2 linked regions of the Elephas maximus indicus genome follow. The main gene of each other region encodes a partner of the protein of the gene in region 2 in a complex. Links are inferred from orthologs where the notes say so. Each region holds a gene or a part of one and is shown on either strand. Other genes may lie near its edges.

Region 1 (16,604 bases), on a different chromosome or scaffold from region 2:
CACAAAAAAGTCTGATGCACAACCAGTCATGAGGATGGAGCAGGACCGGGAAGTGTTTCATTCCATTGTACATGGGGGTCATCATGAGTTGGGGGGCCGACTTGAGGCTAACAACCACCACATCATCACACAGATAACTCAACAGCTTTCTTACTAATCTCCTTGCATCCAGATTCTACCCCCTCCAATCCAAGCTGCACATTAAAACATTTTGGGTAACTCTCCAATTCTTCCTTATTCTGGCACTCTAAGGCCCTCAAGATTCTTACCACAACTTAATCTTTCTGAATATCTCCACCACCTCACCACGCTAGGACGCTTAGGAACAGTCACTCTGGTCAGGCAGAGCTGTTCGCTAGCCTCTACATTTCTGTTGCCTGATACAACAACTACATATCGCTATTTAAACATGACTTAATTAAAAATAAAAATGCACTTCCTCAGCTGCACTAGCCACATTTTAAATGCTTAATAGCAGCTTGTGGCTATTGTATTGGACAGAGCAGATATAGAGCCTCTCCATCATTACAGAAACTTCTACTGGACAGTGCTGCCCAACACTCACGCCCACCTCCTCAGTTCCCCTGCCATTACTCTGCCTAGCGCTCCTCTTTCCTTCTTCCCATCCAAACCACATGTCCTTCCAGCTCCAGCTCAAGTTTCTGCTCACTCCTTCCCCAAACTCTACATGCCACAGTGGTCCTCACGTGAGCTGTCTGTACAACTCACTCTGTACTACCTTGTGACAACTCTTACAAGGTTGCTGCATTTTTCTTTTTTGCGTATCTTCTCACTAATTACTGAGTCACTTTGCTGTTGTTAGGTGCTATAGAGGTGGTTCCGACTCATAGCGACCCTATTTGCAACAGAACAAAACACTGCCCGGTCCTGTGCCCCCCTGTTGCTATGTTTGAAGCCTACTGTTCAGCTACTGGGTCAACTTAGTCACTTAGAAATAATATTCATTGACTAAATGAAGCATATACTTATTATAATAAACCAAAACCAAACCCGCTGCCATCAAATCAATTCTGACTCCTGGTGACTCATGTGTTTCAGAGTAGAACTGTACAACACAGAGTTTGCACAGCTGTAACCTTTCGGAAGCAAATTGCTAGGCCTTTCTTCTGAGGTGCCTCTGGGTAGGTTCAAACCACCAACCTTTAAGTTAGTAACCCAGCACTAAACTGTTTGCACCACCCAGGGACTCCTGCTTATTGTAATTAAAAAAACCGGAGTTGAGTTGATTCTGACTCATAGCAACCTAAGAGATCAGGGGAGAACTGCTCCATAGGGTTTCCAAAGCTGTAAATCTTCACAGAAGCAGACTGCCACATCTTTTTCCCACGGAGAAGCTGGTGGATTAGAACCATCGACCTTTTGGTTAGCAGCTGAACGCTTAACCACTGTGCCACCAGGGCTCCTCGCTTACTATAATACATCAAAATTATCAAATGAGGGCATATTTAATATCCATCACAAAGGCATGCTTTCTTTCACTCTAAATAAACAAAAGCTCTTGAGTTTATCTAACTAACTAATGACAATGCTTAAAACTGAAAGAAAGAAGCTACAAAGATCTGAAATACTTCCACTTTGTATAAGCACATCACAAAGAAACCACAAAAGATGGGCAAGGAGAGCAAAATAAATGAATAGCTTGAGAAAACCAAACCAAACTCGTTGCCATGGAGTCAATTCCAACACATAGCGACCCTACAGGACAGAGTAGAACTGCCCCACAGTGTTTCCAAGAAGTGCCTGGTAGATTTGAACTGCCAACCTCTTGGTCAGCAGCTGCAGCTCTTAACCACTATGCCACCGGGGTTTCCTATATAAACAATCCCAGATCAGAAGAAAAAAATATCTATAATACAGGAGCCCTAAAGTTAAGGGAAAAACTACAAATAAGGCATTAAAAAATCATGTTTATAAATATATTTTCTACTCAATAGACAGAAGACCGAGCCTGACACTGCCACTGCCACCGAGCAGATTCTGACTCATAGCAACCCTATAAGACAGAAGAGAACCGCCCCATAGAGTTCCCAAGGATTTCCTAGTGGATTTGAACTGCCCATCTTTTGATGAGCAGCCATAGCACTTAACCACTATGCCACCAGGGTTTCCAAGCATGACATACCCAGTGCCGTCGAGTCGATTCCGACTCATAGCGACCCTATAGGACAGAGTAGAACTGCTCCACAGAGTTTCCGAGGCGCGCCTGGCAGATTCGAACTGCTGACCCTTTGGTTAGCAGCCATAGCATTTAACCACTACACCACCATGACACAGGGAACATTTATTTACACCATGAGCTCAAAAGCATACGCGTACACAATTAACTTCTTTGTAGGTGTGCTTGTTTTTAATTCGGGCTTGTTATCTTAAAAAATGAGTTCAGAAATCAATTCACCATACCACAGACCCGGATTCTTAAAAGGAATAAGGCTCCTCATCAAAACACTAGGAACTGAGCAGAGAAGAGATCTGGGAGAATCAGCAGGTAAGGACTCTCTCAAACCTTAAAGGGTTTGATGCTTATTTGCAAAAGCAAGTCTTCCCTAAAGTTTTTAAAATCTTCCCTAAAGATTTCAGTTTACTACAAAAATTGTTAAACTGTTCAGTCACTGCAGCTTCCAGTATCTTCCTGAAATTCTGATGTATTCACTGGAGTACGACTGTTTATGAATGTTTAGCTTTTCTTGTCTGAAAAAGAGCTTCCCTTATACAAATAAATGTCCTGCAGAACCTGCATGTCAGCCAGCCATAGCTGTAAATGTTACTTTTTTTGCCTATAGGACTAGCAGTGCATCTCTAAAGCTGACCCCATCTTAATAATACACACCAAAACAAAGATTTCATTTTAGATTTGAAGTAATTACATTCATGCTAGTTAGCTGCAGCTGCCCATTTTTTTCTTTTTTTTAAGGAAACTACTCCAGATACTTCAGGAGTTTTTGCTGCAAATCAGTTGATAGCGCACTAGATGAGACTGAATATTTGCACTACCAGATAACAGAAAAGGAACACGAAGAGTCATGAGATTTCAGTCTGGGACAAACAGGAGGTACTCCTATTTGTTGTTATCAAAGTACACCCTGCTAATCTTGGCATCAGAAAGGAAAACCACATGTAGAAATACTATGACAGAGTATTTCATTAGCCTCTTATCTTACGACTTAGTGACAATTTTCTCCATCTTTTACATTAAATTATCCCTTTTTCTCCTCAGACCTTTCCAGCTCTCTTCCCAGGAACCTCTAGCTCCTTCCCTAATCTCCCAAACTTCAGCTTTCGGTTAGGAATGTGATTTGTTTTTAAGATTCAAAAGAGAGTTGTGTTTTGCTCTGTATATCAGAATTGCCTGCCTGAAGGGTATATCTGCATTATGACTTACTTTGAATTTTGTACAATCTCGGCTCTCCCATTCTCTAGTAATGTCCCATTTATTAAACTGGATGCAAGGCTTTTCTTTTCTATCACTAGAAAGAAAAAAAATCAATACTAATCTGTAAAAAAACGAACCTCTCTCTGCAGGTGTCAGACTTGATTCCTACTCAGCTCAAACAGTGCTGGGTAGAAAAAGTCACCATCAAGCCAAAAATTTCTTCTTTCCTTCTCTTGCCAAATTATGCTGCTATGCTCAGACCAAAACCTCAGGAATATAGTGGAGTAGAAAAAAACCAAGAAATGAATTCCGTATTTAAACACAAAGAGACAGAGGCAGGTTCTAGCTTCCCTTCGTTCAATCACTGGAGGGATAACTTTGGGCAAGCTGGTTATCCTCTCCGGGCCTCAAATTTCTCATCTTAATGTGAACCAACTCATTAGAAAATCTCTAGAACACTAAATGTCTATATTCGCTGTAAAGGAAATCACAAATCTTTAATGTTTATGAAAGCACCCGACGAGGCAGTCCATGAATATAACTCACCTGACGTACCTGCGATCTGCGTATGTGCACACACAAGCTCAAGAGGGCACATAAGCATTTTTGGGCAAGAGAACAGGAGTGAGGAGAAGATATAGTGTCCATAGTTACATTAGATTCTTAAACAGCCCTGCCCATCCCCCCAAAAAGTTGAAAACTACTGAATTGTAAGACATTACACAAAGTATAGACATTAAACATTTAAAAAAAAAATAATCTTTGGGAATTTACAATGAACTATTCTTATCTCAAGATGCAGTGTTTTAACAGCTCCCGCAAGACTAATTTTGAAGAGATAAACTGAACTACTAGTACTTTCCTCATCAGTACAATCAGCTTGTGATGTACAAGACAACAACAGGAGAAAGTGGCAGGAGTGATCCAGAAAAGAAGGTGATTCGACTAATTTGCCTTTGAAATGCACTACTTTTATGTCAGATCTATTCTTCCAACTATGTTCTGCTTAGAAAAGTGTTAACATTATTCCAGGAGAAGGCAGCCCAGAAAAGCACAACAGAGGACAAACCTGTCTGAAAGTACAAAAAATAAAAGCAAAGTCATGTCTATAGTGACATAGTATAGCACAGCCAAACAATGACTATCTGGGTATTCTAGACTCAAATACAAAAAAAAAAAACACAGTTAAGAGTGAGGCTCTGGAGTCAGACTGCCTTGCTCCTATCCCAGCTGAGATTATTAACCATGTTTATTTACTAGCTATGGAGCCTGGGACAATACACTAAATCACTCTGGCCTCAGTTTCTTCACCTGTGAAATGTGATTAACAATAGTACTTAGGGAAACTTTGAGGCTTAAATGAGATACTATGCATATTAAAACAATGCCTAGCACATAGTAAAGACCAAAAAAAAAGCTACCATTACTTCTCTTACCCAAAGCGCTAATCAAATAAGGATCCATGAGGCCAATGGTAAATAAGATCCGGAGAAAAGTCAACCTCATTTTATCCAGAAGCTTCAGCTGTCACTTCTAAACTGCTTATTTTTACAAAAGCAACTAACTAATAACAAAATTAGTTGATTTGTCTTTCTCTTTGATCCCACAAAATCATTAGTAGCGGTAACAAGCAAAGAAGCCACCGAAAAAGTAAAGGGAGCAAGAGGCAGAGGTCCCAGAGCAGCACTGTCCAGTAGAACCTTCTGGAGTGATGGATATGTTTTTATATATACGTTATCTGATAGGGCAGCCGCCAGCCACGTGTGGCTACGGAGCACTTTAAACGCAGCTACTGCTACTGAGAAAATAAATTTTTATCTAATACTAAATAATTTAAACAGCCACACGTAGCTGCTGTTGTTGTTAGGGGCGTCAAAGACGGGTGGGACTCACAGCAACCCTGTGTACAACAGAACGAAACACCGCCTGGTCCTGCGCCATCCTCGTAATCGTTATGTTTGAGCCCGTTGTTACAGCCACTGTGTCAACCCACCTCCTTGAGGGTCTTCCTCTTTTTCATTGACCCTCTGCTTTACCAAGCATGATGTCCTCCTTCAAGGACTGATTCCTCCTGATAACATGTCCAAAGTATGTGAGACTAGTCTCGCCACCTCGCTTCTAAGGAAAATTCTGGCTGTACTTCTTCCAAGATAGACTTGTTTATTCTTCTGGCAGTCCACGGTACAGTCAATATTCTTCGCTAGTGGCTACCTTACTGTGCAACACAGTCATAGATGATCCACGAACTGAGTAAGGATTACCAAAAATTTAAGCAAAAACAGGAGTTTTCTTTTCCTGAATTGTTCATATGTTCAAGTGTTTGGTTTCAGTGGAGTCCTAGTAATTATGACTAGTCAAAGAAATAACATGTCAGCTGATACATCGATACAGTGAGAACCCATGCTAATAAGATAAGAGATATGGGTTCTGCTGGTATTTTAGAAAGTCCCCGAGGCCAAGTTAAATTCCAGCTCACATGAAGCATGATTCAGTACACGGATCAGAGCTGCTGCGGTCCTGCCTTACCAGTACCCTCAAAGCATCTATTTCTCCACTACCAAACAGAAAGCTACTTATACTATGCTGACTGAACATCTCTGCATTTACTTTCAATTTTTTCAGAAATTCAGAGTTCCATAAGCCTCCCCCTCCTTCAGACACACTAGGGTTCTTGGCCATTTAGTCTTTTGCACTATAAACAAAACTCATGCACCACCCATATCTGAAGGATAACGCCAGACTCCTGCTTAGCTGCCCCCGTAATATGGTTTAATTATGATGACTGAACTAATAGGCTGACATCATAGACTTTTACAGGCTGACCCCAAGTCATCCTGATGTATCATTTTGCACCAGTTCAGTGCTGTAAATCAATTTAAGATCTCAAGCAGGTTGAAAAGGCTGGTAATGATGCTTTCTCTGCCGTCTCTTGAGACTCTACATTATACACAACTTACATTATTTATAAAGCTTCAGTGATGCCTCCATTAGCCTTGTAAGACTACACAAATGAGACCTTTTATACACACAACTTGGCCTTGATTAAGTAGGCTACTGCAGCTCAAATACACTCGTCTAATTAGAATCAAGTTTATTCTTTTCCCAGTCTACCAAATTATTAATTTTATCCGTGACCCAGAATTACTAGAAATTGCAATTACAAACTGAAATTTAGTTCGGAACTCATAAATATATTTAGGAAAATGTGCCTTACTTCCTTTTAATGCTTCATCTGAACTTAGTAGAAAAAAAAATTTTTTTTTTACTTCAATTCTAAAAGGTGCAAGAGGCTGACACTGTTAATTCCTTAAAAACTGTCATTTCTCTAGAATGCAAAGGTCATCAGGTTTTCAAGAGTATAAAAGATACTGCAGAAGAAAAAACGTATTTGGTTACATACCTATGGTTGGAAGGGTCAAAACTAAATCAAGGACAAATCCCCACCCTTAGAAGAAACCTGATCCCGCCTGGATCCTCTAGAGGCTCCAACATCACCCATCTCCAGAAAACCATCTCGAACGACCCCGTTTACCGTTTCCTAAGAACTGCAGTATTACACAAATGGTATACCACCTCACAGAAATATCAAATAACTGCAAATGGGAAAGACAGAGGGAGGATAAACACTTTCATGAGAACAGCACAGTCAGGCCTTGCATCTACATCAGAATCATACAACACTGGTGCAAAAATATGTATGCCAATTCTGGGGCGGTGAACAGCCGTTCTGCCTCAGTTCTTTTTAAGTAGTGGTTCCTCCAATACGGCTCACCTACCTCCGATAAAATTTAGAGTGGTAATTATAAACAAGGCGAAAAATCAACACAGGCAGAGAACAGTTTTCTCACTGTGTTACTGAAGTGTGGGCATGTTATCCACGAGAGACGATCTGAGCGAGAGATGTTTTGAAATAAAGGCATTCTGTGATTTAGGTGCAAAGCGTTTCAGCCACAGAAGACACACAGCAATCATGCAACTTCTGTATCATTCCACATATTCAGAAACTTGAGATACAATGGCAATTAAGAAAAAAAAAACACGAGTGAAAAGAAAAAGGCCAGTTGTCACAGCACTCACGAAAACGCTGCTTTCCTCAGGAGATGGTTCTGAGACGGGCCTCAGTTTTCAGAAGGAAAGCGCCTTCCTGATTATCTTGCGCAGTGTATTTAAAAACTGCATGTACCTCCAAAGAAACAGGAGCCGCAGCTACTGGAGTTGTAAGATTCGCCAGGCATTTGTTCCTCTTCCCTTCCTAAGCACATCAAGGAAACGCTCTCCCTGGAAGCCTTCATATATACTCAGCAACTAGAAAAACAAGCCCACATCTGTCTCTCTCACACCCACCATCCCCATCTTCCAATACAAACAACCCCGAGAACACCTAACAAAGGCAGGGAGCAGGGAAAAGAACAGTTGTTCCACAGCGAACTCACAAATACACATGCAGTGAGGCAATCGAATCCAGTAAAGGGAAAGGAATGAGACGACACTTGAAGACGCAGGCGGCGTAGGCGGAAGACGAAAAAAAAAAAAAATTACGCGCCGCCAAACCTTTGAATAAATTAGAATTTCGGTGCGAACTTTCCTTGACCTCGACCCCAAAGGCGCGCTCGTTGGGACAGACAAGGCAACCCTTTGCGATGCGGAGGGGCCAGGGCACCCGTGTCGTCCTCCCGCGAGCCCCGCTCCCCGAGCCCGTAAACGGCAGCGCCGGCGCCGGTTCTCCAACTCCCGCAAGGGTTGCCCTGCCGGCGCGGGACACAATGGGTCCGCGGGCCGCGCACACGGACGCGGCCCGGCTGCAGACCGGGAAAGAGAAACCGGGAACAGGCGGAGGGGGAGGGCGGCCGGAGAGGTCCCGCCGCGGGCAGGGCCGGGGGCGAGGCTCCAAGGCCAAGGAATGCGGCTTCTCCGGCGCAGACCCAACAAAGACGCGAGGGGAACCCCGGCGGAGCCCTGCCCGGCCGGCTGGGCGCGAAGGGAGGCGGCGGCCGAGGTGGCAGGTTCTCTCCTGCGAGCGGCGGGGAGGCGCCCTCGTGGGGGAGGGGGCCGCTTCCCGGCTCGCCCCACGCGGCGCAGAACCCCCTCCCCTCGGCAGTCGCGCCGCCGACCCCGCACCACCCCGGCCCGCCCGCTAGCCCGTGCCGTCCGCGCCGGCTCAAGCGGCGGCTCTGGGAAACCTCGGGCGCGGAGGGGAGACGGCAGCAAGGCAAGCTGGGTTCGGTTCTGTTTCGTTTTACCGGGTTGGCGGCGCGCCCGTCCGTGCGGGCGCACGAATGGCCGGGCGAGCGGGGTCCCGCCGCCCGGGTCCGGCCGGCCGGGCGCTGCGCCGCGCTCCGCTCGCAGGGTGCCTCCCTGTTCCTCTGCCCGGGCTAAGGCGCTCGGCTTCTCCTTCCTCCTCCCGCCCGCTTGCTCCCGGAGCCTGGATTGATCTGGTCGCGCTGGCGTCAGGGAGTCGGAGCCGCCCAGCCTCCACTGCACCGCTGCCAATACCCGGCGCACTCGCCCGCCCGCCCGCTCGCTCGCTCACACGCGCACTCGCGCGCCGCCGCCTCCGCCGCGCGACCAGGGATCCTCTCCAAATTCCCGGCTGGGCCGGCCCGAGCGCAGCGGCGCCGGGGCCCGCGGACAGCGCGGGGAAGCGGCCCGAGCGACCGCCCCCAGCCCCACGCCCCAAGAAGGAAAAAGAACGCTGCGTGCTGGCTTTCCTGAACCTACCTCTTTTAATCCAGCTGCTGAGGTCTTAGTGCATTCTCTGCTAGCGAAGTTCAGTGTTCTGCGTGTTTATTTTCTGAAATACTCATTAACACATCCACCGCACCCACCGAACCACACTGTAAACGTGGAGTGTATTTTTGGCAATTATCTCCCGAGACCTCTTCTTAGGTCAAGTTTTCATAGCCCCTCATTCCCGAATGATTTGCAGGCCTCAGAATTTGCGGGTATCTAAACTTGGATGACCGAGTAACTATTGCATGCGCTCACAACCCAAAACCAAACTTACCATGTAGTTGATTCCGACTCACCAGCGACTCGGTAGGACAGAGCAGAACTGCCCCATAGGTTTCCAAGGCTGTAATCTTCAGGGAAGCGGACTGCCACATCTTTCTCCGGCCATGTACTCGTAACCCACCCAGTGCCCTCGATTCCGCTCATACCAACCCTAAATCAAAAGATGTGTTTTGTGCCAATTTGGGGTCCAATAATTTGAATAGTTCACCTTCTTGGCTCCAAATAATAACAGATGCCTGAAAGGAGTTTAGAAGTCTGTTTGGTCCAATTTCTACTATCTTTTAGAACACACAACTCCCCCCCGCCCCGCAAAGAAAAACTAGCTCTCATCTACCTGATCTGCACAACCCACCTGACCTGCATAGACATTGAAAGTATCTTTTCTTAAGAGTCAGTTTTTCTCTTGGCCAACCTTCTAGAAGCTGGCATAAAATCTTGGATAATTACCATATTGTTGAGTTAGCATAGAGGAAAATAATTATTCTGAGGAATAAGCTTCACATGAACCAAAAGAATTCCTACACCATTTTTTACAGTAAAGAAAATACCAAAGACTTACATAAATAAGTGATACTCTGCAATGGTTCATATGCCCTTATGAAATCTGGCATACCATTTTAAATTCTTCTTAATAATTATTATTTTTCATTCCATTTTAATTTTTCAAGGGAAATGCAACAAATTCCATAAAACTCATAAAATACCCTTTATAAATTAAATAGCAGAATACTTTTGCTAACTTAATTGCTTTCTTTGTTAAACTATTTGAGCACTTACTGGTCAATTCTTGGGCTTCATCTTCTTTTCCCTACCAGCAGCATTTGACACACTTGATCACTCTCTGCTCCTTAGAACAACAGCCAGAGTCAAAACCAACCAAACTCACTGCCTTGGAGTCTGTTCCGACTATTAGCGACACTGTGGGACAGAGCAGAACTGCCCCATAGGCTTTCCAAGGCTGTAAATCTTCATGGAAGACTGCCACATCTTTTTACCAAGGAGTGGCTGGTGGGTTCAAACCCACGTGTGCTTTCAGTTAGCAGCCAAGCACTGAAACCACTGCACCACCAGGGCTACTTACAGCCAGAGTAAGCCTAGTTAAATGCCAGTCCAATCAGGTCATTCCTCTGCTCAAAATCCTTCCTCAATAAACAAAATGTGATAAAAATCCTTGATAAATCAAACCCATTGCCATGGTGCTGATACCAACTTACAGCGACCCTATAGGACAGAGTAGAACTGCCCGTAGGGTTTCCAAGCATCCACTGATAGATTCGAACTGACTACCTTTTGGCTAGCAGCCACTGTGCCACCAGAGCTCCGTATCCATACAATGGAATATTATTCATTCATAAAAGAAGTGAAGTACTGACACATGCTACAACTTGGTGAGACTTGAAAACATTACACTAAGTAATAGCAGCCAGTCACAAAAGACACATATTGTATGATTCCAGATTCCATTTATATGAAATGTTCCAAACAGGCAAATCCGTAGAGACAGAAAGTAGATGCATGGTTGCCTAAGGCAGGGGGGAAATACCCTGGTGGCATAGTGGTAAAAAACTATGGCTGCTAACCAAAAGATCAGCAGTTTGAATCCACTAGGCACTCCTTGGATACTCCATGGGGCAGTTCTACTGCGTCCTGTATCGCTGTGAGTGGGAATCGACTGGATGGTAGTGGGTTGGTTGTTGTGTTGGAAGGCTGAGAGAAAGGTGAGTTTGGAGGAATGCTGGCTAAAGGGTATAGGGTTTCTTTTGGGGGGGTAACGAAAATGTCCTCAAATTAGTTTGTGGTGATGTTTGCACAACTTTGTTACTATATTCGAAGCCAGTGAATTGTATACTTTAAATGCGTGAATTATATCTCAATAAAACTGTTAAAAAACACTTAACTAAATGCAGCATATGGTGCTCGCTTGTATGTTGGATTGAGGGGAAGAGCGATAAAATCATATTATAAAGCTGTTCATGTTTTTTCTAACCTGTGGACGGCCTTTCTCAGTGCACCACTAGTAATCCCAAATAATAGCTATTAATACTACAAATACTATGGAATTTGATTTGGCACATTGTGAAAGTTATTTCTTCAAGTGGTAGTAAACATTCAGGTACATGTTTGGAAAGGACATTATTGGAACAACAGTGAATACCTGAATATGGACTGTCTGTTAAACATCATTGTATCGAAAAACAAACAACCTCTCTCTGTCTTTCTCTTTCTGTCTCTCAGCTCCTCTTTCATTCAATGTAGAAGTTCTCACAATGTGCGCAAGACCCTCCATGATCTTCAATCCCCACCCCTATTTACCTCTCTGACCTGTGTCCTACTCCTGATGAGTTCCTCAAGTATGTCTGTCCTCCTCACTAGCCCTGGAACGACCCTCGCACACCCTCGCCTCAATACCTCTGCACTAGCTGTTCCTTCCCTGGAAAGTGCTTACCAGAGTCAGCCACTTGGCTCACTCCCTCACCTCAAGATTTTACTCAACTGCCCCCATTTCAGTGATGCTTGCCCTGGCCACTCCAGCAACCCTCCCGACCCCTCACACACATATTTTATATCCTCTTTTCCTGCTTGTCTATGGATGTTTCACTTGTTGCTTTTGTTGTTAGGTGCCATGGAGTTGGTTCCAACTCATAGCTACCCTATGTACAACAGAAGGAAACACTCTTCTGTACCATCCTTCCAACTGTTGCTGTGTTTGAGCCCATTGTTGCAGCCACTGTGTCAATCCATCTTATCAAGAGTCTTCCTCTGTTTCACTGACTTTTTACTTTACTAAGCATGACGTCCTTCTCCAGAGACTAGCCCCTCCTAACAACATGTCCAAAAAACGTGAGGCAAATTCTTGCCGTCCCTCTTTCTAAGGAACATCGTGGCTGTACACCTCCCAAGACAGATTTGTTTGTTCGTCTGGTAGTCCATGGCATATTCAATATTCTTCCCCAACACCGCAATTCAAAGGCATCAATTCTGTAGTCTCTTATTCATTGTCCAGGTTTCAAATGCACACGAGGCGATTGAAAATACCATGGCTTGGGTCAGGCTAAGCTTAGTCCTCAAAGTGACATCTTCGCTTTTTTAACACTTTAAAGAGGTGTTTTATAGCAGATTTGCCTAATGCAATACATCGTTTGAATTCTTGCCTGCTGCTTCCATGGGTGTTGATTGTAGATCCAAGTAAAATGAAATCCTTGGCAACCTCAATCTTTTCTCTGTTTATTATGGTGTTGCTTATTGGTCCAGCTGTGAAGATTTTTGTTTTCTTTATGTTGAGGTGTAATCCATACTGAAGGCTGTGGTTTTCGTCAGTAAGTGCTTCAAGTCCACTTTACTTGCAGCAAGCTATGCTGTGTTATCTGCATAACACAGGTTGTTAATGAGTCCTACTGCATATCCTGATGCCATAGTCTTCTTTAGCAGCTTCTCAGATTATTTGCTCGGCATACAGATTGAATAAGTACAGCAAAAGGATACAACACCTTTCCTGACTTTAAACTGTGCAGTATCCCCTTGTTCTGTTTAAACAACTGCCTCTTGGTCTATGTACAGGTTTCATATGAGCACAACTAAGTGCTCTGGAATTCCCATTCTTTGCAACGTTATCCATAATTTGTCATGTTCTACACAGTGGAATGCCTTTGCATAGTCAATAAAATACAGGTAAATGTCTTTATGGTATTCTCTGCTTTCAGCCAAGATCCATCTGACATCAGCAATGACCTCCCTTGTTCCATGTTCTCTGCTGAATCCGGCTTGAATTTCTGACAGTTTCCTGTCAATATACTGTTGCAACTGCTTTTGAATGATCTTCAGTGAAATTTCACTTGCGTGTGATATTTTGATACTGTTTGATACTTTCCACATTCTATTGGATCACCTTTCTTTGGAATGGTCACAGATATGGACCTTTTCCAGTTGGTTGGCATGGTAGCTGTCTTCCAAATTTCTTGGCATCCACAAATGACCACTTCCAGTGTTGCATCTGTTCGTTAACTGAAACATCTCAATTGGTATTCCATCAGTTCCTGGAGACTTGTTTTTTGCAGTTTCAGTGCAGCTTGGACTTCTTCCTTCAATACCATCCATTCTTGATCATATTCTATCTCCTGAAATGGCTATTGACCAATTCTTTTTGGTACAGTGACTCTGTGTATTCCATCTTCTTTTGATGCTTCCTGCATCATTCAATATTTTGCCCATAAAATCTTTCAATACTGCAGTTTGAGGCTTGGATTTTTTCTTCAGTTCTTTCAGCTTGAGAAATTCCAAGCATATTCTTTCCTTCTGGTTTTCTATCTCCAGGTCTTTGCACATGTCGTTACACTTCACTTCATCTTCTCTAGCCACTCTTTGAAATCTTCTGTTCAGCTCTTTTACTTCATCATTTCTTCTGTTTGCTTTAGCTGCTTGATGTTCAAGAGCAAGTTTCAGAGTTTCTTCTGACATCCATTTTGGTCTTGTCTTTCTTTCTTGTCTTTTTAAAGACCTCTTGCTTTCTTCATGTATGATGTCCTAGCACAACTTGTCTGGTCTTCAGTCATTCATGTTCAATGCGTCAAATCAATTCTTGAAATAGTCTCTAAATTCAGGTGGGATAAACAAAAGGTAGTACTTTGGCTCTTATGGACTTGTTCTAATTTTATTCAGCATCAATTTGAACCTGCATATGAGCAATTGATGGTGTGTTCCACAATTGGCCCCTGGCCTTGTTCTGACTGATGATATTGAGTCTTTCCATTATTATCTTTCCACAGATGTAGTCCATTTGATCCCTGTGTGTTCCATCTGGCAAGGTCCACGTGTATAGCCACCGTTCATGCTGTTAAGAAAAGATATTTCCAATGAATAGGTCATTGATCCTGCCAAATGCTATCATGTGACCTCCAGCATCGTTTCTATCACTAAGGCATATTTTCAGAAACTACTGATTCTTCTTTGTTTCCAACTTTGCATTCCAATCACCAGTAATTATCAATGCAGCTTGAGTGCGTGCTTGATCAATTTCAGACTGCAAAGGCTGGTAAAAATCTTCAGTTTCTTCATCTATGGCATTAGCGGTTGGTGCGTAAATTTGAATAATACTCTTATTAACTGGTCTTCCTTGTAAGCATATGGATCTTACCCTATCACTAACAGTGTTGTACTTCAGGATAGAAATTGAAATGTTCTTTTTGACAATGAATATGGTGCCATTCCTCTTCAGTTTGTCATTTCTGGCATAGCAAATCATATGATTGATTCAAAATGGCCAATACCACTCCATTTCAGCTCACTAACACCTAGGATATGCCTACAAGGAAGAGCAGTTAATACAACTAACATTCAAATTTACACACCAAGACCTAAATATAAAATCTAAAATGATAAAGATCATGGAAGGAAAAATAGGGACAATGCTAGGAGCCCTAATACATGGCATAAACAGTATACAAAACATTACTAACAATGCAGAAGAGAAGCTAGATAACTAGGAGCTGCTACGAATCAAACACCTATGCTCATCCAAAGACTTCACCAAAAGAGTAAAAAGATTACTTACAGACTGGGAAAAAGTTTTTAGTTATGACATTTCCGATCAGCATCAGATCTCTGAAATCTACATGATACTGCAAAAATTCAACTATGAAAAGACAAATAACCCTATTAAAAAATGGTCAAAAGATATGAACAGGCACTTCACTAAAGAAGACATTCAGGTAGCTAAGAGATACATGAGGAAATGCTCATGATCAAATACAAATCAAAACTATAATAAGATTCTATCTCACTGCAACAAGGCTGGCATTAACCCAAAAAACACAAAATAATAAATGCTGGAGGGGTTGTGGAGAGACTGGAACACTTATACACTGCTAGTGGTAATGTAAAATGGTACTACCACTTTGGAAATCGATTTGGTGCTTCCCTAAAAAACTAGAAATAGAGCTACCATACGATCCAGCAATCCCACTCCTTGGAGTACATCCTAGAGAAATAAGAGCCTTTACACAAGCAGATATATGCATACCCGTGTTCACTGCAGCACTGTTTACGATAGCAAAAAGATGGAAGCAACCAAGGTGCCCATCAATGGATGAATGGATAAATAAATTATGGTATATTCACACAATGGAATACTATGCATCGATAAACAACAATGATGAATCCGTGAAACATTTCATAACGTGGAGCAACCTAGAAGGCATTATGCTGAGTGAAATTAGCCAGTTTCAAAAGGACAAATATTGTATGAGACCACTATTATAAGAACTCAAAAAATAGTTTAAACAGAGAAGAAAATACTCTTTGATGGTTACAAGAGTGGGGCAGAATGGAGAGAGAGGGGTTTTCACTAATTAGATAGTAGATAAGAACTATTTTAAGTGAAGGGGAAAACAACACACAATTCAGGAGAGGTCAGCACAACTGGACTAAACCAAAAGCAAAGAAGTTTCCTGAATAAACTGAACACTTTGAAGGTGAGCATAGCAGGGGAGGGGTTTGGGGACCATGGTTTCAGGGAACATCTAAGTCAATTGGCATAATAAAATCTATTAAGAAAACATTCTGCATCTGTCTGTGGAGAGTAGCGTCTGGGATATTAAACACTAGCAAGCGGCCATCTAAGATGCATCAATTGGTCTTAACGCACCTGGAGCAAAGGAGAGTGAAAAACACCAAAGACACAAGGTAATTATGAGCCCAAAAGACAGAAAGGGCCACATAAATCAGAGATTACATCAGCCTGAGACCAGAAGAACTAGATGGTGACTGGCTACAACCGATGACTGCCCTGACAGGGAACACAACAGAGAACACATGAGAGAACAGGAGAGCAGTGGCGTGCAGACCTCTAATTCTTGTAAAAAGGCCAGACTTAATGGTCTGACTGAGACTAGAAGAACCCCGGAAGTCATGGTCCCCAGACCTTCTGTTAGCCCAAGACAGGAACCATTCCCAAAGCCAACTCTTCAGACAGGGCTTGGACTGGACTAGGGGAAAGAAAATGATACTGGTGAAGAGTGAGCATATAGGATCAAGTAGACACATGAGACTATGTGGGCAGCTCCTGTTTGGAGGGGAGATGAGAGGGCAGAGGGGGTCAGAAGCTGGCTGATTGGACACGGAAATAGAGAGTGGAGGGAAGACACGTGCTGTCTCATTACGGGGAGAGCAACCAGGAGTATATAACAAGGTGTACCTAAATTTTTGT
Region 2 (16,081 bases):
ATGCAAATTTTTTTCCTAGCTTGTCTTGGCATATTGATTTTATCATGTTTTTACCATGAAGAAATTTTCTAGCTAGCTACTTTACTAAAGTTTTTTACTGTTTATATGGTGCTTCATCCAATTCTTTGGGGTTTTTCAAGGTACACAATCATATCACCTGCAAATAACAGCAATTTTGTTTTATCCTTTCTGCTGTCTTTCTCTGGTTAATAACAACTGTGACAGTGCACATCCCTGTAGTGATCCTAATTGTAACGGGAAGCTCCCAAAGTTTTACCATTACTGATGACGCTGGCTTTAGCTTCTAACAATCTCTCTCCAAGGGAACTTTCTGAATACACAGAGAACTTAATAATTCTTTTTTACTTTTTATTTGTCCATGCTTATCAACAAATTCTACAGATTTTCTTCAGTGTTAAGAGACATCATTAGCTTTATCATTTACATGGGTTATTTAGGAATAGGCAGCAACAGGGATCCATGACTGTATTTATACTGTGCTACTCTATTTTTTTTTTTTTACTCTATAATTCCCAACTCTTCATCAGAATATGTCATCCATCTTTGTCAGCTCCTTGTGAGTTATAAAAAAGCAGTATCCCACATTACACATAGGGAAATTGAGGCATAAGAAGATTATACTTCTACAGCCCCCTTCTTCACTGTGGGCAATTAAAAAAAAAAAAAAAAAACCCTGATGCTGTTGAGTCGATTCTGACTCATAGCGACCCTATAGAACAGAGTAGAAGTGCCCTATAGAGCTTACAAGGAGCGCCTGGTAGATTCAACCTACGGACCTTTTGGTTAGCAGCTGTAGCTCTTAACCACTATGCCACCAGGGTTTCCGTGGGCGCTTGCAGGAGTTAGAAATAAAATATGGAACTTTCTGCCTCCCGAGCCAATGCTTAACGCACAAGAAAGCAGGATGCCCACAGAGCACCCAGCGGATGGCCATCCTAAGAAGAAGGCAGGCTGCGTCTGCATCCCACAGCTTCACAACACTCTTCCAGACTCCTGAAAGCAACCTCCAAGTTGGGGTCGGGAGCTGAAAACATCTGAAATGCATCACCCAGCAGCCAGCATAATAGGTTCGTGCTTAGTGATACATGATGTTACTGACATTCCTCAGCCAATTAGAATTCCTTTCAGCTGCAATGGAGGTGAACACAGCTGGAATTACAGAGTAGGGAGCCTCATCAGACGCGCTGATTGCGCATTATTTAAGCCCTCTTTTAAAACAATAACAGGGTGTTTTTTTCCCTTTAATCCCGAAATGTAGAAACAACATTCCACTTAGTTTAAATATATAAATGGATTAAATTGCATCTGTAGACACCACAGTACATAAGTCTAACATTTTAGAAAGGAGACATGTCCATGCACATGGCTACGTGCTTGTGTTTTTTAAACCCAGCTCTACAGCTCGTCTCTGACTAGAACAGCTGAGGGGTTTTAGCTGGCTAGGGTGAGTGAGGACAAGCCAGTGTACGCTGGGTGCTTTCTCTTCATAAAATTCACTTAACAAAACAAGCAAACCACCGATTTATGTTGTTTGGTGAGGGGAAAAAAATTTTTTTTCTTTTTTACTCCGTTTTCATTTAAAGGAAACCCTGGTGCCGTAGTGGTTAAATGCTACGGCTGCTAACCAAAAGGTCGGCAGTTCGAATCCACCAGGCGCTATTTGGAAACTCTATGGGGCAGTTCTACTCTGTTCTATAAGGTTGCTATGAGTGGGAATCGGCTCGATGACAACGGATTTGGTTTTTTAATTCACTTAAAGATAATTAATCTCTAAAACGGTTCTGAGATTACAAAAATTTCATCCAAATAAGACTGCTAAAAGTTAGGCTTTCCCAATCAGAAAAACTCAGAGTACTGCAAAGATGTCAAATTCTTTTGTCTGATTGAGAAGGTTTTTTGAACTTCCCTTTTTCTCTCACCACTCAGTAAAATGCACAATTCAGCTATTTTAACTTTTGACCAGAGCCCACAAATGTGTTACAAAACAGCCAGTCTAGTTAACCGGACAATTGAGCTGATGTGGAAATATTATGGGTCAGTATTTTTTTTTTTTTAATTCATGAGGAAATACAAGTGACTCAGGCCTCGGACCCCGCCCCCCTTCTTCTACCCAATGGCCCACACTACAACATGACAATGTGACCGAACAGGATAAATAGAAACTGGTGGAAGAGAGGAAAAAGCCAAGCGTCAGAAATGACTTTCGCGTTTGCCAAAAATGTTTGATAAATCACAACTATTGTAAAACTGAAGATATAAATAAACTAGTTGCCCTTGAGTAGATTCCGACTCATAAAAGTATATGCAATATTTCATTTGTAAAGTTAGTTAAAATGGATCAATAAGATGCAAAGAAAAAAACACAAATTTGGGAGGAAAAAAAACTTTTTTTTTTTTTTTTTTAAAGACAACACAAATGTGATCAAATCACAAATAAAATCAGTAATAGAACCTGTACTGGGCAGATTGTGATTTTTGTTTTTATGTAATAAGTTTTACAACACTATTTGAGCTAATCCATCTGACACACCTTGATAATAAAGCTCAAAGAAGTGCCTTGACTACACCTTCTTAAACTGGAGGCAGACCCTAAGGAAAATGTTATGCACTTTTTTTTTTAGATGTCAGGCGGCACTAAAGACCGATCACTTATTCCTTCATAGTGCAGCAACTGTGTTCCACTCGCGAAGAGCCTGCCTTACATAAGTGAGGTCCTCAGCTGGTACAAACTGACAAAGTCAACATTCTTAAGAGCTATCAAATCTTTCTTAAAAGAAACCTAACTATTTCCAATCAATTAGGCCACCTGTTATCGATCAATTAAAGTTATTAACAGTTATTGCTACGACTATTTTTCCCCAAGTGCACCATCTGGATGCTGAAACCCAAGTCGGCCTTTCATCCCATATGCTGCAGCTTTAAAAATATCCTTCTCATTTCCACATGCTATCAAGGAAAGTCGACTTCCCCCTCTTCACTTGCAATCAGAATTTTTCTCTCTTCACATACACGGTCACGCTCCAAGAGATATAAAAGCACAAGGAAGTCTGACAATATTTCAAGCCACAAAAGCATAAGAAAGTTTAGGTATTTGGTATTTCAACTGATTAACATTTGGGTAAAATTTAATTTTCTCAAACAGCACTGTGGAATCCTTCAGGTGCAAAATTCCATTCTTTAACCCAAAGTGGCCAAAATAATGTATCTGGGACTCATTTGTGTACCACATAAGAACAAAGATTTTGCAAATCCTGCTTGAATTTAAAATCAAAATGTTCCCAAAGTGTTTTGCCCATGACTTCTAAAATGTCTCCAAGATAATGCTCTTTAGCAAAGACCCCTTGATTTTGCATATAACAAAAAAACCTACTGAAATTCTTTAAAAATTATTTTCCTGCTAAAATACTACAAAGACATCCATTAAAGTTATATCCTTTTAAATATAAAGAATCAAACATTCTTCTACTACTTAAAAACACGTTTATAAAGCAATTCAACATCATATTACCCAGAGATTTTCAGGAACAAAACAGGTTTTAAAAAAAGTCATAAATGTAATCAATACACAAAATCAATGCTTGGCGTAAGTCAAACCCAAGTGCTGTGCTTTGACACAAATTTCTGAATATCAGGACTGAGTCTTAACAACAGAAAGCATAAGTGCCCCACAGTGATGTGGGTACACAGGTATACGAACCCATACAGCCTGTGAGAGAAAAGTAGAATCAAAGAACGGTACAATGAAGACTGAAATCTCATTTTATATATGAGGAAACTGAGGCCCAGAAGGTTAAATAATATGTTCCATATTACGCAGCTAATGGTAGATATGACCGGAATCCAGGTCTCCTAACTCTAAATCTAATGCTCTACCTACAGCCGAAGGTATCCCGGTGGCACAATGATGAAGCACTTGGCTGCTACCTGAAAGGTGGATGGTTTGAACTCACCAGTTGCTCCTTGGGAGATAAAACCTGGCCATCTGCTCATGTAAAGATTACAGCTCCACTCTGTCTAGACCGAATCGACTTGAGGGCGCAAAACAACAACCCACAACCAAATACAATCATGTATTCAAAAGTTTTAAATGCTTTTTTATAACTCCAAGGTCTTTATATTTTGCCTTTAATTATGCTCTGTGTGGTATTCGTTTACTGGCTAGAATGTCCCTCGCTTTAAAGCCATATTTTCAAAAACCACACACGGAAAAAAACCTGTGAAACCTGTAACAAAAGTAGTCTACTTTTGAAAGATAGCTACACAATATGCCAAAAGTGAAAAAATTTCAAACTTCCCATAGCAACCTTAAAAAATTAGGCCAAAGCCTATCTTCAAATAAAACAGTTCGTTCCAGCGTTTCCACATAAATTAATATTCAACAGACAACTGCCAACATGTGTGTTCTGCAATCATCACTAAGCTGCCAATCCTGTATCGGGGACACTCACACTCACACATCCTCTCAGATCCATTCCTAGTATCTACTAGCGGGAAAGGGGCAGTGTGGCTCTGTGGTAGACTTCTCACAACACCCAGCTTTGTTTTCCAGGTTCGGTTTCTGGCCAAGGCACCTCGTGCATAGCCACCACCCATCTGTTAGCAGAGGTGTGAGTGTTGCTGTGATGCTGAACAGGTTTCAGCAGAGCTTCCAGACTAAGATGGACTAGGAATAAGGGCCTGGCAGTTTACTTCCGAAATCAGCCAATGAAAACCCTATGGATCACAACAGTTCAATCTGCGACCAATCACGTGGCTGGAGCAGGACAGGGCAGTGTTTCATTCCATTCTGTTGTGCACGGGGTAGCCATGAGTCGGGGGCCAACTCCATAGCAGTTAACGATGGGGGGAAGGGAAAAGGTCCTTTAGAAAGAATACTCATCATCCCTGATCCCTTAATATCCAACGTCATCCAAAAACTCAGAAACGTTTCTGTATCTATGACATCTTGATTGCTGAATCCAAAAACAATCTTCCTCTCTTTCACAAGGAAAAGGACTAGGCCCAGACCTGCCAACCAGGATATATATATCCTAGAATCTAACACATACATTTGTAACTAAAACCTTATTCCTTATAAAACGTGAGTTGCATTTCTACAAAACTCACAAAATCAGTTACTTCTCTTTTAGCAAGAAAACAGAAAATGATCTAATATCAATTATAGATTATATTGTAAATTCAAACCAAATTAAAGCAGTCAATAATTAAAGTTTTACAAGTATTACAATGTCAAAAACATGGCTTTTATGTAGCCATAAAAATAGTTTAATGTATATATGCACATAGAAGTCTTTCATATCCGGGCCCTGGTATAAAGGATAACGTCTCTCCAGAAGCAAAGACCCATGGGATATACCTGTGACCTTACAAAACCATGGTCTGTCTGGGTTTGGGCCCAAGTCATTCCTGATCTGACATCCTTGTAAAAGGACAAATAATTACAACCCTTTCCTTGACACAAAAAAATGGATCATGCAACAACTATGGGGTTTCGAGGGAATCTTTAGTTTTAAAAAAAAAATCACCAACTGTTGAGTCAGAATCGAATTGACTACAGTGGGTTTTGGTGTTTTTATTTTTATTTTTTGGTTAAGGCACTCACAGAGCAACTAAAAAAAAAAAAAACCCATTGCTGTCCAGTGGATTCCGACTCATAGTGACCCTACAGGCCAGAGCAGAACTGCCCCATAGGGTTTCCAAGGCTGCAATCTTTAGAGAAGCAGACTGCCACATTTTTATAAAGTAGAGCAGCTGGTGGTTTGGAACCCCCAACCTTTCCATTAGCAGCCAAGCCCTTAACCACTGTGCCACCAGGGCTCCTGTTTCTGCCATAAAGTGTTCAAAACGCTCATTCTCTCCTTTGAAAGGAACTGAGCAGACACTGGCTTCGGAATCCGCACTAGGCCAGAAACTGCACAAGGAAAAATCGAGAGGAAAATCCGTAACAGGGATTAGATGAAACTTTTTCTTTCCTTTCCAGAGCTGGAAATATTCGAGTTTGGAAAGTCCCCCAGCAACACCGCATTTGCAACAGGAGGAAACTGCCTTAGGCGTGAATTTAAGCTGGAAGGGCAGAGGGTGAACCCGGAACAAGCTAAGAGGAGGGAGAAAGGGCAGGCGAGGATGCAGACTGGTCCAGAACCCCTGGAGCGCACTAGGGAGGTTCACATTCGCACACATCCCAACTACAGCAGAGCGGCACGCTCCCCCCTGAAGTGGCACCACTGAGCCACCAAGGAAACAGGGACTCTTCACTGAAGACTGAGAGTGAATCAAGAAGCCTGGTTTCTGCAGCTGCCAAAGCCTCCAGTGCGGGGGTGGGGGTGTCTAAGAGGGGCTCAAGAGTGTTGAGTGGCAGGATGATGGTCAAGTGCAATACAGAGACGCCGCGAACTGCAACAGCAGCGTCAAGGGCAGAGAGTGGTCTGGCCTGAGAGGAAAAGGAAGTGGGCTAGACTGAAGGGGTCTGGACCAAAGGAGAAGTGAGGCAAGAGGACTGGGAGAAGCTAGACGGGAGAACAGGAGCTCGAGCTCAAGGAAAGGGTTGGGGCCCCGGAGAAAGCAGCAAGGGGGCAGGAATGGGAGATAAGCCAGGAAGGAGCTAGAGAAAAACGAGGGGCGTGGCCAAGAAAAGGGGCGGGGCCAGTAGGGGAGAGGCGAAGGCACAGGTGGGGGAAGAGGGAGGGCAACCAGGGGAGGGTGAGGAGGGTGAGGAAGAAAGATGAGAGGAGGCAGGTGGGGGGAGAGGAGGGGAAAGTTGGGGGGAAATGGTGAGATGCCTGGGGTCGGGGCCAAGAGGAGAGAAGCGAGGGGGCGTGGCCAGGATGGAAGTGGGGGAGGACAGTGGGAGAGGAGCTAGGAGGCAAGGAAGGGGCGGGGTTAAGGAGAGGCAAGGGGCGGGGCTAGGGAGGCGAGGGCGGGGCCAGGATGGAAGCGAGGGGACGATAGTGGGAGAAGAGCTAGGAGGCGAAGAAGGGGGCGTGGTTAGGGAGAGGCAGGGGCGGGGCCAGGATGGAAGTGAGGGGACCTTAGTGGGAGAGCTAAGAGGCAAGGAAGTAAGGGGGCGGGGTTAGGGTGGCGAGGGGCGGGGCCAGGAAGAAGGAAGGAGGCAGGTGTGAGGGAGAAGAGAGTTGGAAGGTGGGGGTGAGAAGCGTGGGGGTGGGGCCAGGAGGGAGAAGGAAGAAGGCAGGTGTGAGGGAGGAGGGAAGAAAGTAGGAAGATGGGGGCGAAAGGCAAGGGGGCGGGGCCTGGAGAGAAGCGAGGGGGCGGGGCCTGGGCAGAAGCGAGGGGGCGGGGCCGGGAGCAACAAGGGGCACACACCGAGGGGGGTGAGGAGGTCCTGGGACAACGGCCGGTTGGGGGAGGGACACATCCCAAGGGCGATACGGGGGAAATGCCGGGGCTGGTGAGGGGCGGCGCGGGGTCTGAGTGGGAGCTGGGGGCGGCGGGGGCCCCCCGCCGGCCGTACCTGTCAGACGGATCTTGATGCTGGAGCCATTCCTGCGCGTCCCGGGATTCGACATCTCCCGCCAGCGATCGGGTGGCCGCGGATCCAGCGCCGCCGCCCCCCGGCCCGGACCGGTCCGGCCCCGCCGCCGCCGCCTCAAGGTTACGGCTCCGGGCTGGGCGCCGGGGTCCGAGCCGGGACACAAACTCCGCGGCCCAGGCGTCCGGGCGGCAGGCGGATGGTCGAGCCGGGGGATCGGCACTCGCCCCAGCGCCCCCCGGCCCTCGCTCGCACCTAGCCGAGCCCAGTCCAGAGCCGCCGCCGCCACTGCCGCCACCACCTCAGAGCCGGACGCCCGCCGCCCTCGCCGCTTCCGCCGCCGCCGCCGCCTCCCGGAGCCGCGCGCGCTCTCGCCGCTGTGCCGGCCCGGCCCTGCGCGCGCCCGGGCCGTGCGCCCCCGCGCTCGTTTGCGTGCGCGCGCCCGCGGGGCACGCCGGGGCGGGGCACGCCGGGGCGGGGCGGGGCGCGCGCCTACGTCAGCAGCTCGGCCTCCTGGCGCCCGGCCTGGGGGCTTCGCCCGCGCCCTGCAGGAGGGGATGCGGCGTTGGGCGTGGGGTGCACCCGGCGCGCCCCTTCCTCGGCGGCGAGGCTGCGAGGGGACCGCGCGGGGTCCGCCACAGGCGGCTGACGGCGCTGCCCGCGCCCCGGCGCCTCCAGTGTCCGCGACGGTTCCCAGGGAGCCGACGTGCAAATGCGGACGTGAGGTTCCGAGAAAGGAACCGATTTCCCAGGTCTCTGACTCCAGGCCCGGGACTCCTCATAAGCTGTTGAAGGACGGGCGACACGAAACCTTTGTGTCGGTGCCCTGTTCCTAGACTAAGTACCTTGCACCAGCAGACATTCAGTAGCGTATTTTGTGTTTCGATAATGCAGTTTCAAGGGAGGGACTTGTCAGAGACAAAGTCCGTTAGGTGTGTGTTCTCCGCAACTCCTGCGCTCTGATTTCCCCGTATGGAAGTTGCCAGAATGGCAGGAAGTGCCCTGTGTGGGCAAAGTAAACAACAGTTGAGAGAGGGATAAAGTTAAGAGGTTAATATCTAATCTGCATACAGTTTAGCAGTTACTGCCGTGTTTTCCCGCCTTCTGCTCGCTAAAGGCTCATTAGACGTTCCCAGCAAACAAATGGCTCTTATTGTTAATACGATATGGAGAGGAAATAACGTGTTAATCGAGAGGAAAAGGTGGGTTTATCAAACTTGTTATTGACCAAATACCTCATTCTTTTAAATGCCTTTATTTGGTTTGTGTCCTAAAAATGGTGTCTCTGGGTGATGGGCTCAGCTGCTAACGTATGAAGGTTCCAGACCACCGGGCACCTTGGAAGAAAGGCCTGGCAATCAATGTCAGAAAAATTAGCCATTGAAAACCCTTTGGAGCATAGTTCTACTTTGACATATATGAGGTCACAATGAATCATTCAGTGGCAACTCTTTCTAAAAAGCCAGACAGGGTCTGGGCAACTGCTCACATTCCCTGTGGCCTTGGGCCTTTCCTGAGCTCACAGTCTTCAGAACAAAGCCCTCTGCCTAGAGTCTCTGGACGTTCCCTGCCGTCCTGCCTCTGGCTGAGCCCAGTGAAAGCAGTCTGTCATAGGCTGGACCCAAGGCTTTGCCTCTTGGGGCCTCAGTTTCTTCAAGCATCAAATGAAAGGATGGGCTCAGATCATTTCTGTGGTCCCTTGCAGCTCAGACTTGCAATGATTCTAGTGTAATATCCAAGAATACAAGCTATGTTTAACCAACAGAGGAGTAGACCCAGAACCCAGCTGTTTCTCTTTTTATGCAATTGTGACTGAGAGTCCCTTGGCCTGAATAAATCCATTCAGTGTGTTGTCTGACACCCCAAGTGATGGCCATTCTTCTTTCAGTCCAGTCAGTATTCCCCCTTCTCTCCTCTTTATTCCCAAATTCAAGAAGTCTCTTCTCCCCAAACCAAACCAAACATCTCTCTCTGCTTACCTGAGCACTGGCCCCTGTCCCAAGCCTCAGCTGTTCCACCCTAGAAACCTGGCATTTCTTAACCTCGTTGTGTTCTCACCTGCCTTGATGCCTGGGCCTTCCTTTGCTTATTTCTTCAACCCTTGAGTCAAGAGGTTGCTTTTGGAGATTACCAAGAGGCATCTTGTTTACTCATTAACACATAATTGCTGTTGTCATCTAAGTAGATGCACAAAATAGTCATCTCACCACAGCCTGTACAGAGGGGACCTGAATGGTAGCTAATGCTTTCTACATTTAGCGTTTGCTCAGCCAACATCGGCCACCTACTATGTGGCTAGGGACAAGGGACACAAAATAAGTCATGGCTTTAGCATTTTGGAGTCCCTGGATGGTGCAAACATTGTTTGGCTGCTTAACTGAAAGGCTGCTGGTTTGAGTCCACCCAGAGGTACCTTGAAAGAAAGTCTCGGCAATCTACTTCCAAAAAAATAAATCCCTGTGACGCACAGTTCTACTCTGACACACATGGGGTCACCATGAGTCAAAATCGACTTGACGGCAACTAGCACTGGTTACTACTTTAGCTTTTCAGAGCCTCAGTTGACAGGGAAACAATGGTAGAGGGACAGAGATGGGTACAGAGGGCTAGACCAGGGGTTGCAGGACAATTCTGCCTAGGAGGAGAGGGCTGGGGAGGTCTCAGAAGAGTCACAGCAGGCCTTGATCTGGAGCTTAAATGCAGGGTTCAGGTTTGCTGGGCAAAGAGGCAGGAAGGGAAATGCAGACAGATTGAACAACTTGTGCAGAGGTGTGTCCGTGAATGCATTTTCCAGTGTGTTTCCAGGCCAGTGTGACTGCATAGCTGCCATATCTTCTCCCCACGTACTTTACTCCACTGAAAGTTGATAAAAATGATAAAAGCTATTTGCCCACTTAAAAATCATCAGCTGCTGTTTCGTTCTGCGGCTGGGCCAGCCCACATATTGAACTACCTGGATGTCCTTCCACCATGTATCAACCTTCATCAGAAGTACTACCTTCCAGAGATCTCTGGGCCAGATAGATATGAAATGTCAAGCAGTTCTGCTGAAAAAAACTCAATGAGTCCCTCCAAATGTCCTCTTTGCAATGGCTTTACAAAGAGCAGTTTTGCCCCTGCCTTCTATGGAGGCTTGCCAACTGATTCTATTTCCACCGTATGTACCACTTCCTTGTGTCACTGTTATTGGGCATCTCTCTTTGTTCTGACTGAGTAGTTCTAACCTGTTTTGAGTCCCAAACCTCTTTGAGAATCTAATGGAAACTCTGGACCCTTTCCCCAGAAAAATCCATATGTGCACATACACACCAAATTTTACCAACTTCAGTGGGTTCATTATCCCCAAAAACCTATTCGTGGATCCTATAATGGCCCATACTCCCTAGATTAAGAACCCCTATTCCAAAGAAAGTGATCAAGCAGTTAACTTTGGGGATATCCTTCTGTGTGTGTTGGGGGGAGGTGGTGTGGTAGTTCAGTGGTAGAGTTTCACCTTCCCTGACGGAGACCCAGGTTAGATCCCCCGCCAGCGCACCTCATGTGCGGTCACTGCTCCTTTTGAAGGCCATAATTTGTGCTAAAAAGAGAGTAGCTGTGGACTCACACAGCCCCACACTCTACCTTGTCTCCACCACATTACCAGCTGGTGATAACCAAACCAAAACCACACCCAGTGCCATGGAGTCGATTCCGACTCATAGCGACCCTATGGGACAGGGTAGAACTGCCCCAAAGGGTTTCCAAGGAGCACCCTGGTGGATTCGAACTGCCAATCTTTTGGTTAGCAGCCATAGCTCTTAACTACTACACCACCAGGGTTTCCCCAGCTGGTGATAGAGGAAGGTAATTAAATTCTCCAAACCTCATTTTGCTTATCTCCAAAATGGGGCTAATGCCTCTCATGCAAAGTTATTGTGGGGTTTAAATTAAATCATGGATGTAGAAGTAGCAGTTAATATAGGAGGGACTCAATAAACAGTAGTTCTTATGAGTAAAATGTGCAGGCTCATCTTCACTCCAAAACCTATTAGTGCTACTACTACCTTGGAGAAATATGTTTGGGAAAATAAGACAAATAAAAATTCTCCAAATTCGTCGTAACTCACCTATAACATGTAAGCAACAGTAACCAGGGAAATCAACCCAGAGGAAGTCCCACGTAAGACCCCGAATCATTGTTTATTGGCTAAATATCGTACTAGTCTTTGGACAGGGTTGGACGGAGATCGAGTCTATTCTAGACCAATGGTTTTCAAAAGTGGGGTCGCCAGAGCAGCAGCAGCACCTGGGAACGGTTAGAAATGAAAACTATCAGGTCCCGTCCTAGATAGCCTTAACGCATCGAAACCCAGGGCCCAGCAACCTGTGTGTTAACAGGTCCTCCAGGTGATTCTGACTCCGGCTTGCATCTGAGAGCCAGGTAGACAGTTAACTCCTAACTAATGCAAGAGAGCAGGGTTGTACAAAATCCAAAACAAAGGGTGTTTTCGTTAGACTGTTAAACAACTCTCGCTAACTTAAGCAAAAATGCAACACATTAGAAGAATTTCAGAGGATCATTGAATCCTTCGACGACTCTAAGTCCAAGCTAGAAAACACATCTCAGCAGCCAAGGAGCAGATTCTTTCAGCAGGAGTACGGCCTGCTCTCCTAGGAATTAATGCCATCTGCGTGGTGCAAATGGTTTGCGCTCCACCGCTAACCTACAGGTTGGTGGTTCAAACCCACCTAGTGATGCTACAGAAGAAAGGCCTTGTGGTCTGCTTCCATAAAGATCACAGCTAAAAATACCCTATGGGGCAGTTCTACTCAGTATACACGTGGGGTCACCATCAGTCAAAATTGACTCAATGGCAGCAGGTTTGGTTTGGTTTTTTCAGTACCCACATCTTGGGGTCACTCAAGATTGTAAGCCCTGGAAGGAGTTGCCAGTCTGAGCAGAGATAAGGCCCCATGCCCTGGCTGCCTGCAGACAGCAAGAAGGAAAGACGAGGGCAGGTTCACCTTTGTAGTGGGAAATGGGACGCTGTCTCCTGCCAAAATTGCACACAACGGGGCTTTCTCCTAAATAGGAAGAGGACTGGATACTGAATAGGCCCAGATGGCCAATGGCTGTCTCAGGAATGTGACAGGGAAGGACAGCAGCAGATACACGTTGCCTGTAGCTTAAGGAGCCCTGGTAGTGCAGTGGCTAAGCGCTCAGCTGCTAACCAAAAGGTGGGCGGTTGGAACCTATCAGCTGCCCTGCAGGAGAAAGATGTGGCAGTCTGCTTCTGTAAAGATGCAGCCTAGGAAACCCTAGGGGGCAGTTCTACTCTATCCTATAGAGTCACTATGAGTCAGAATCAACTCGATGACAATGGGTATTTTATAGTTTGATTAAACAGATACCGGTATTTAAATTCGAGTTGGTATTTGATTCCCCAAGTACTTACTGACTCTACTGTCAACATGGAAGCAGCCTGTCAGGAGGAGAGGCTAAAGTAGGTCTATGATTTAAAACCAACTGGAAAACTCATAAATTAGATGCTCTTGCTCTCCTTATCAAAAAAGTGCTGTTGTAAGTGCCCATGTGTGGCAAACACCATGTGGGGCAAATATTAACCACAGTTTCTGTTGGCAAGGAGGTGACCTGACTCCCCAGTCGTGCAGATGTGCAGAACCAGTCACTGAGGCAGCTCTGGGCATACTCTATACACGGTTTAACTCGGGGAGCCTTTATCTTACCCTGATGGTGCAGAAATAGAAACCCACACAGATAAATGTGACAAAGATTTCCCTAGTACCAGGAGAAGGCTGGGAGCTGTACCTCCTCATTATTTAAAGGCACTAGTATAAACAAATTAAGTTAATTTGGGGTTTAGTCGCATCTGGTATGTGCAGGGAGGGATGAGACCTAATTACTAGTTTTTTTTTTTTTTATTCCTGCTTAGTGAGTGTGAGAGGTTTTTAAGGATAAATATTTCAAATCCAGGTTCATCCCCCCTTTCTAGGCATGTATCATAGCATGCATTGTGCTTAAAGCAGACACTTTGGTCCATCTGTCCGTCTCCCCAGTCTGCATCAACCCTCTGCGTGTCCAGGCCTCTCTGAATGAACGGGACTTAGACCAAGGAATTGTTTTAAGACTTTGAGACTTTTCCCAGGAACCATATTTTAGAAAGCACAATTTTGTCGTTTATATGCACATATTTGTAATAGTGGAAACCCTGGTGGCATATTGGTTAAGTGCTATGGCTGCTAATCAAAAGGTTGGCAGTTCGAATCCTCCAGGCACTCCTTGGAAACTCTGTGGAGCAGTTCTACTCTGTCCTATAGGGTCATTACAAGTCAGAATCAACTCGACGGCAACAGGTTTTTTATTTGTAATAGTAGTCCTCTTTTCCAGTGTTAGAAAAGTTGTATTGTTGGTCCAAGGGAGTGGTGGTGCGGTGGTAGAATTATTGCCTTCCACCGGAGACCTGTGTTGGATTCCTGGCCAAGGCCCCCAATTCATAGCTACCCCCAACCTTCCCACCCCGTCTCAGCCTTGCATGTTGCTATGATGCCGAACAGGTTTCAGTGGAGCTTCCAGACTAAGACAGACTAGGAAGAAAAGCTTGTGATCTACTTCCGGAAATCAGCCAGCGAAAACTCTGTGGCTCACAAGGGTCTGATCCGTAACTGATCGTGGGGATGGTCCAGGACCACAATTTTGTTTAGTTGTGTGTTGGGAGGTCGCCACCAGTTGAGGGCTGATTCGATGGCAAGTAACAACCATTGTTTGTCCAAGCTAGAAAACGACCAGTAGTCAATCAATACACCTCAACAGCCAAGGAGCAAATTCTTTCAGCAGAAGGAATATGGCCAGGTTGCCACTTCTACTCTCCTAGGAATTAATGCCATCTGCCCCTTCATCTCGGGGTCACTCAAGACTGTAAATCCCATGAAAGGTTCCTAGTCAGCTGCATCTAAATCAGCCCATTTGTTGTACTGTACAATATTAAGCAAACATTTCTCAGGAATCTTCTGTGTGCCAGGCATTGTGCCAGTAGGCAAGGAGTTAAAAAAGGTCAGTGAGGTATCATCCCTGACGTGTCCACGTTAGTAGACAGAAACAAATCATTAAAACAAAATGTATAAATCAGACAGAAGAGCCCGGCTGAAGCTTTCCCCTTCTCCATGGACACCAACATGACATAGGTATGAAGAGAGAAAGGGAAGGAGTCACCAGCTTCACCAGGATGCATGAGGAAGGTGGCCTTTTTGCCATATATCTTAGGCAGCAAGTTTCTAAAGGCGTTTGGCCGCTAACTGAAAGGTTGACCATTTGAACCCACTCAAAAGCACTGCGGGAGAAAAACCTGGCTATCGGCTCCTGTAAAGATTAAAACCACCAAACCAAACCCATTGCCACTGAGCTGATTCCAACTCACAGTGACCTATAGGACAGTGTCGAACTGCCCCACAGGTTTTCCAAGGAGGCGCTGGTGGGTTTGAACTGCTAACTTTTTGGTTAGCAGCTGAGTGCTTAACCACTGCACCACCAAGGCTCCTTTCCATAAAGATTACAGCCTAGAAAACTCTGTAGGCCAGTTCTACTCTGTAACACACGGGGTCACCGTGAGTCAAAATCGACTTAATGGCACCAAACAACAACAGGTTTCTGAAGTCATTCAAAAATTAGCAGTGAATTTTATGATTGTAGAGTTTCTGTTTGGGATGACGAAAAAGTCTTAGAAATAGCAGTGATGGTTGCACAACACTGTGAATGTATGTAATGCCACTGACTGTACACTTAAAAATTGTTAAAATGGCAAATTTTATGATATACATTTTTTACTACAATAGAAAAAAATTTTAACCAGCAGCGATTAATTCAGGAATGACATCACCAATTCAAATATACTTGGGACAAATTGCTTTGTAATTTTATTTCTCCTATGGCAGCCCGTGACCTTTGCTTTTTAAAAGGCTTGAGCAGCTTCTTCTCTGCAAGCTGCATCTTTTTCCACTGTGCGTTTTCATCTTAGGTGGTCACATAGAGGTAACAATCGTTTTAAACATTGCACTCTGCTCCAAGAGCAAGATCTGTGATGTCTAAACTGAGCAGAGGACCAGGGTGCAAAACCTGTCTTTATTAAGTGAGAGTTTTCAAATGGCAAAAGTTTTATTTTCACTGAAGAATATACTTGCTACCAAGAGAAAAGAAAGACTGTACTTACTACAATTCAAAGCTATATCACTTTTTGGGGGGGTATCCAAAATGTGTTTATTGGGATGTTTTCCCACTCATCTTGATTCAGGGTGCTGTTAATACTTCCATTTTTTCTCCGTTTATCATGATGGTATTTATTAGTCCACCAAGGATTATACCCACTCCAATAACCACATATACTGTAGACAGAAGCTTTGTCTTTGCCAATAGCCATCAATCTGTCTGTGTAACTCCAGGCGCTCTTTTACTAGCAAAAACCCAGGACTCTTTCAAGCTGAGCAACTGAAGGACAAGGCAGTAACTATGTCTTTCGAACTTCCAGGCCAATTCTTCCCAATAAGAAGAGAAACAGCTCTTTGTCAAAAGAACCTAGTGCT

The links.
Region 1: the proteins of SMURF1 (region 2) and SMAD1 are in contact, whole or in part, in an NMR structure (PDB 2LB1), measured with the Homo sapiens proteins. The link is inferred for Elephas maximus indicus from reciprocal best matches to the Homo sapiens genes SMURF1 and SMAD1. Residues at the interface, in NP_065162.1 of Homo sapiens: Glu313, Val314, Arg315, Ser316, Arg321, Tyr323, Val325, Asp326, His327, Arg330, Thr331, Thr332, Gln333, Phe334; in NP_001003688.1 of Homo sapiens: Asp221, Thr222, Pro223, Pro224, Pro225, Ala226, Tyr227, Leu228, Pro229, Pro230, Glu231, Asp232.

What each region holds. Positions count from the first base shown.
Region 1 is NC_064831.1:39,412,268-39,428,871, forward strand, and holds the start of SMAD1 (mothers against decapentaplegic homolog 1), read right to left. Parts: upstream 8,939-16,604; 5' UTR 8,922-8,938; intron 8,721-8,921; exon of another isoform or gene 8,632-8,720; intron 7,664-8,631; exon of another isoform or gene 7,575-7,663; intron 1-7,574. UniProt on the Homo sapiens protein: Transcriptional modulator that plays a role in various cellular processes, including embryonic development, cell differentiation, and tissue homeostasis.
Region 2 is NC_064830.1:102,565,510-102,581,590, forward strand, and holds the start of SMURF1 (E3 ubiquitin-protein ligase SMURF1), read right to left. Parts: upstream 7,874-16,081; 5' UTR 7,545-7,873; coding exon 7,490-7,544; intron 1-7,489. UniProt on the Homo sapiens protein: E3 ubiquitin-protein ligase that acts as a negative regulator of BMP signaling pathway. Mediates ubiquitination and degradation of SMAD1 and SMAD5, 2 receptor-regulated SMADs specific for the BMP pathway.